Macaca mulatta: one gene and its partner. The protein of the gene in region 1 interacts with the protein of each later gene in a biochemical or structural test. Links are inferred from orthologs where the notes say so. Each region holds a gene or a part of one and is shown in the gene's direction. Other genes may lie near its edges.

Region 1 (3,826 bases):
TACTTTATTCATTTCATACATACACGGTGGTTGTTCCACTAACATGACTTATGGCATTTAATTATATGATGGCTTTCATTGTTGCTTGATAACATAAACATGTGTGAATCTCCATACATGAATCTCCCGGTCTCCTGCTTAGAGGTTAGGAACTTTGTCTTCGTCCTTCTTTTTCATCTCTCAGTGCCTATGTGATAACTTCCAGAGCACACATGAGCTGGAACCCACACTTGATAAATGGCTGTATCTATTTTCTCATTTTAGCTGAAATGTTGTATTTGAAAGAACCATTTTTCTCATTTTAATAGAAATTCAAAAAAAACAGACGACGTGGATTTTGTCCTGTAGGACCACATGCAGCAAATTGTCTTTAATTCTCAAAGCCACAGTCTCTGCTAGGAGTCGGGGCCATAATTACAATGGATTAGCTATTTCGGATTCCCTATCTAAATGGCTTTTACTGTTTGCTTTAAAATACCGTGTAAAGAAATAATTAAATCCAGAATATTGAGAGAGCAAAATTAGTGGGCTCCAGAAATTGCAAGCAGAGGGGAGGATATCTTCAAAAGTGTTTTGTCCAGTATTTTTATGAAGAAGTTCAGACTGATATTTTTGTTGTTTTTTACAGCCAAAACAAAATTATTTTCAAGAAAACATTGAGTTGTGTTAGTTTTTATAGTATCATTTCTCAGTAAGGAAATATGATTCATCTATTGAGTCCTAAAAATATCGCAAATTTTAGATTATTAATTCAAAAGACTCTAGATGGAAGATTGGTATTCATACCTCATAGCAAAAAGAAAAAAACAGTAATCTGTGAAATCAGATTTCCCATCTCTGATTATAAAACTACCTTTATATTTTAATAACCCTTAACTAATGTTTATGGTAATACCTGTGGAGTTTCTTAACTTCATATTGCAGGTGCTGTTCATCTGAATTGTGTGTGTTTGTTCATCTGTTAAATACTTCCTAAGCTCCTGCTGTATGCCAGGAATACACAAATAAATAAATGTAAGACTGTCTCTGCCCTAACAGAACTCCTAGCTTCATGGAGGAGACAAATGAGTCAGGAGAGAAATCCTAGCTGCATTCTTTTTTATATATCATAAAATAAAATTGTATTTTAGATTATACTATTGGTTACAAATATATTACTTTTATAAATTAGGATATACTTCAGACAGCATTTTGTTACTGTCTTAAAATGCAAATTTTAAGTACAGATTGTTGGTAATACTTTTTTTATTTATTATTTTTCTGAGACGGAGTTTTGCTCTGTCGCCCAGGCTGGAGTGCAGCGGCATGATCTCAGCTCATAGCAACCTCCACCTCCCAGGTTCAAGTGATTCTTCTGCCTCAGCCTCCCAAGTAGCTGGGATTACAGGTGCCCACCACAACGCCAAGCCAATTTCTGTATTTTTAGGAGAGATGGGGTTTCACCACATTGGCCAGGCTGGTTTCAAACCCCTGACCTCAAGTGATCTCCCTGCCTTGGCCTCCCAAAGTGCTGGGATTATAGGTGTGAGCCATCATGCCTGACCTGTTACAATAATTTTAAATGCAAATTAACATTGTCTATATTTGTAATTGGGTATTTCTTACATATGCTCACATCACCTTGAAGAAAATTAAAGTCATGGTTTTTTTTTTTACAAAAAGTTATGCAGTCTGTATGTTCACAGTGCATTTAGAATTGAAATCTACCTCTCTTTTATTTTCCTCTTTTCAAAGGGTTATTGTATTATGCAGGACATGGTTATGAAAATTTTGGGAACAGCTTCATGGTCCCTGTTGATGCTCCAAATCCATATAGGTCTGAAAATTGTCTGTGTGTACAAAATATACTGAAATTGATGCAAGAAAAAGAAACTGGACTTAATGTATTCTTATTGGATATGTGTAGGAAAAGGTAAATTTTCTAATCTTTATTAAACAATTGTTGGAGTTAAATATCAACCTTGACAAACTAGAGAAACATGCGAAATGCTAACAGCCATTTGCGTGTGTGAATTTTAGTTTATACATCGAAACTGGAAGAACAAAACTAGAGAAAAATATATTTACTCCATGTATATCTAATTATTTTAACTCTTCATATTTGCTATAGAACATAAAGAACTAAAGGGCATGGGCATTTACTCATACTACAGGGGATTCAACTCTCCAGAATGCCTTTAGATGACTTTAATAATCATTGTAGTTATTCCCTCAGGAATTAACAAAACCAGCACCCATGGAGTTGGGATTTCTGGTCACTAGTCAGTCCTGGTCTTCCAGATACAGAATGAGTAGCCGAAGCAGATGTTTGGAGGTTTGGATCCCATTTATCTGCCATTGCCTTTCTAAGAAATAGAACCAGTGCCTCTAGACTTACTATTTTTTGCTTGCTCAGCATTTACGAATCAAAATCCAATGCCAGAGTTCAAATGCAACTCCGGTTTTAAAGCTAACAAGGAGTTAGTGGGTTATTTTGGGTAGATATGTAGCTACCTAGATGAAAGATTTTGAATCTATAATTTTAAATTATGTATTCTAAAATACTGTTGTATTATCTCATTATTTATACTCTTTTAAGGATGATCTTTAACTTTTCATATTTCTGTCTGCTCTTCTCTGCCTCCGTTGAATAGAAATGACTACGATGATACCATTCCAATCTTGGATGCACTAAAAGTCACCGCCAATATTGTGTTTGGATATGCCACGTAAGAAAATTTTATGTTTACGTTGAAGTTTCCTTTATTCTTTGATATCTTTTTGTTTGCTTTTGCTTTTTAGGAGCAGGGGTCTTAACTCTGTCGCCCAGGCTGGAGTGCAGAGGCGCCATCATAGCTCACTGCTCCTGGGCTCAAGCAATCCTCCTGCCTCAGTCTTCTGAGTCGCTGGGATTACAGGCATGTGCCACTGTGCCTGGCTCCTGAGGTCTTTTTGATTCTAGATTAGAGGCCTAGAAAATACCTATAGACATGTAGGCATAAATTTACCTCCTTGATGTTCTTGGTAGAAAATTTTAAATCGTCAACTTTAGCATTCCATATCGTGGTATCTTATTATTAAGCCCAAATTGGGCATGTAGTTCCTGCTTAAAGATTAACTCTTTAATTATTGATGTCATGTGAGAGGCAGAAGAGAAAATGAGGCTCATCAGTGTACACAGAAGTCCCATGTGGCAAGTGTTTGTTTTTCTAACATTTTCTTTTTAAAAAATTATTTTTATTGGATATTGACAAGTTATAATTGTAGGTATTTATGGGATACAAAGATATGCTATGATGTACGTATTCAATGTGGAATGATTGAATCAAGTTAATTCACATATCACCTCAAATACTTACCATTTTTTTCCTCCTAACTGAAACATTGTACCCTGTGACTAACAGTCCCTGTGCCGTGCCCACCTCCCAGCCTCTGGTAATCACCATTCTGCTGGCTGCTTCTCTGAGTTCATTTTTATTAGCATCCACATATAAGTGAGAACATACAGTATTTGCCTTTCTGTGCCTGGTTTAACTTCTTTTTCTATTTTTAAGGTGTCAAGGAGCAGAAGCTTTTGAAATCCAGCATTCTGGATTAGCAAATGGAATCTTTATGAAATTTTTGAAAGATAGATTATTAGAAGATAAGAAAATCACTGTGTTACTGGATGAAGTTGCAGAAGGTAAAAAATAAAGAGGAACTACTCAGAAAAAAGAGCAGGGGGGACACACCTATTCAGGATTCCCTCTCTGGTGATTGTTTAATTCTTATTATGTGGGTTTGGAATTAGTATCTACTTTATAAAACAATTTTTATATTAATATAACATTCAGCAACACTTCTGCTA
Region 2 (2,928 bases), on another chromosome or scaffold:
TTTTTGAGACAGTCTTGCTCTGTTGCCTAGGCTGGAGTGCAGTGGCGCAATCTCGGCTCACTGCAACATCCGCCTCCCAGGTTCAAGTGATTCTCCTGCCTCAGTCTCCCGAGTAGCTGGGATTATAGGCGCCTACCACCACGCCCAATTAATTTTTGTATTTTTGGAAGAGCCAGGGTTTTGCCATGTTGGCCAGGCTGATCTTGAACTTCTGACCTTAGGTAATCTGCCTGCCTCGGCCCACCAAAGTGCTGGGATTACAGATGTGAGCCACCATGCCTGGCCAGAGAATCCCTCTTATAATGAAACTTTTTGATTTGATTGTTATTTTTTCTTAAGTCCTCATTATGCCTAAGAATGACTTTTTTTTTTTTTTTTTTTTTTTTGAGACGGAGTCTCGCTCTGTCGCCCAGGCTGGAGTGCAGTGGCGGGATCTCAGCTCACTGCAAGCTCCGCCTCCCGGGTTTATGCCATTCTCCTGCGTCAGCCTCCCGAGTAGCTGGGACTACAGACGTCCGCCACCTCGCCCGGCTAGTTTTTTGTATTTTTTAGTAGAGATGGGGTTTCACCTTGTTAGCCAGGATGGTCTCGATCTCCTGACCTCGTGATCCGCCCGTCTCGGCCTCCCAAAGTGCTGGGATTACAGGCTTGAGCCACCGCGCCCGGCCGACATTTATTTTTTCTGACAATTTTGGGACTGGTGACTTCCCAACTTGTGTCTCCCATGGTCTGGAGATTTCACTTTTTGGGTTGTCTCTGTATGTTGGGGGGCTTTGGAACCTCTTCTCCTTCCTCACTCTCAGGGAAAACTCTCCACAGCTGTGTAGGAGCATGGTTTCACATGCTAGTTCCACAACAGTTGTGTGAGCCTTCCACTGACTTTCCCTCAGTGCCCTCAGTGCCTTAGTTTACTTCTTATTATCACTACTTTTAGAGACAAGGTCTTGCTCTGTTCCCCAGGCTGGAGTGCAGTGATGTAATCATACTTCCCTGCAGCCTCAAACTGGGCTCAAGCAATCCTTCTGCCTCAGCCTGCCAAGTAGCTGGGACTACAGGCGTGCACCACCACACCCAGCTAACTTTTAAATAATTTTTTCGTAGAGACAGGGTCTGCTATGTTATGTTGGGATTACAGGTGTGAACCACCATGCCAAAAGGCTATATTCTTGGCCTTCAATTTAGTTATTATCTGAGAATGGTGATAGTCCCACATGGATTCTCCTTGGGATTAAGATGGCACCTTAAGGCCAGGCTTGGTGGCTCATACCTGTAATCCCAGCACTTTGGGAGGCTGAGGCAGGTGGATCACCTGAGGTCAGGAGTTCGAGACCAGCCTGGCAAACGTGATGAAACCCCATCTCTACTAAAAAGAATAATTAGCTGGGCGTGGCACGTGCCTGTAGTTCCAGCTACTCGGGAGACTGAAGCAGGGGAATCGACTTGAACCGGGGAGGAAGAGGTTGCAGTGAGCCAAGAGTACACGACTGCCTTCCAGCCTGGGCGACAGAATGAGATTCCATCTCAAAAATAAAAAAAAAGGCCACCTTGATATCACATTTTGCAGGAAGTGGGGCATTTGAATTAGGGCCTGGTCAGAAGTTGGCCCTAAATCACACTACACTTCTCTGTCTTCATCCCCGTAGGCCCGTTCCTCCCGCCGTCAGCCCTGCTGCCAGACCCTGACTTCTTCTCTGGCACCGTGTCCCTGCCCGGCCTGGAGCCCCCTGGCGGGCCTGACCTCCTGGATGATGGCTTTGCCTACGACCCTACAGCCCCCACACTCTTCACCATGCTGGACCTGCTGCCCCCGGCACCACCACATGCTAGCGCTGTTGTGTGCAGTGCCGGAGCCGTGGTTGGGGAGCCCCCTGGCCCTGAACCGCTGACGCTGGACTCGTACCAGGCCCCGGGCCCCGGGGATGGAGGCACCGCCAGCCTCGTGGGCAGCAACATGTTCCCCAATCAGTACCGCGAGGCGGCCTTTGGGGGCGGCCTCCTATCCCCAGGGCCTGAAGCCACGTAGCCCCGCGATGCCAGAGGAGGGGCACTGGGTGGGGAGGGAGGTGGAGGAGCTGTGCAATCCCAACCAGGATGTCTAGCACCCCCATCCCCTTGGCCCTTCCTCATGCTTCTGAAATGGACATATTCAAGCCTTGGCGAGAAGCTCCGTTGCACGGGTTTCCCCTTGAGCCCATTTTGCAGATGAGGAAACTGAGTCCGGAGAGGAAAAGGGACATGGCTCCCGTGCACTAGCTTGTTAAAGCTGCCTCTGTCACCACATGTGGGGGAACATTCTCCAGTAGGATTCGGAAAAGATTGTACATATGGGAGGAGGGGGCAGATGCCCGGCCCTTCCTCCCCAGACTTGAAGGTGGGGGGTAGGTTGGTTGTTCAGAGTCTTCCCAATAAAGATGAGTTTTTGAGCCTCGGGAGTTTCGTCTATTCTGCGCTTGGGAAACGCCCTAGTTCCTTACGTAGCAAAGAAAGCCTCCTGGCTGGGGGCTCAGGCCTGTCATCCCAGCACTTTGGGAGGCCAAGGCGGGAGGATCGCTTGAGCTCACGAGTTTGAGATCAGCCTGGGCAACAAGACGAAACCTAGTCTCTACAAAAAATACTAAAATTAGCCGGGCATGGTGGCGCATGCCTGTAGTCCCAGCTACTCGGGAGGCTGAGGTGGGAGAATCGCTTGAACCCAGGAGGCAAAGGTTGCAGTGAGCCTAGATCGCGCCACTCTAGCCTGGGCGACAAAGACAGACTCCGTCTCAGAAAAAAAAATAAAATAAAAAAGATAAAAAGATGGCTGTAACATTCTAGTTTATGCCCTGAAAAGGGGAATATAGTCATTCTATAGTGTTTGGAGATTTTGGGTTACCCTTAATTGTATGCAAGTTGTCTTACTGTGTATTGTCCCTTAATTTCAGGACTCAG

What was found.
Region 2: of the proteins of MALT1 (region 1) and RELB, one has a biochemical effect on the other in vitro, tested with the Homo sapiens proteins (2 studies listed by BioGRID). The link is inferred for Macaca mulatta from reciprocal best matches to the Homo sapiens genes MALT1 and RELB.

What each region holds. Positions count from the first base shown.
Region 1 is NC_133423.1:22,266,823-22,270,648, reverse strand, and holds part of MALT1 (mucosa-associated lymphoid tissue lymphoma translocation protein 1), read left to right. Parts: intron 1-1,734; coding exon 1,735-1,912; intron 1,913-2,633; coding exon 2,634-2,708; intron 2,709-3,533; coding exon 3,534-3,661; intron 3,662-3,826. UniProt on the Homo sapiens protein: Protease that enhances BCL10-induced activation: acts via formation of CBM complexes that channel adaptive and innate immune signaling downstream of CARD domain-containing proteins (CARD9, CARD11 and CARD14) to activate NF-kappa-B and MAP kinase p38 pathways which stimulate expression of genes encoding pro-inflammatory cytokines and chemokines.
Region 2 is NC_133424.1:57,550,645-57,553,572, forward strand, and holds the end of RELB (transcription factor RelB), read left to right. Parts: intron 1-1,643; coding exon 1,644-2,023; 3' UTR 2,024-2,425; downstream 2,426-2,928.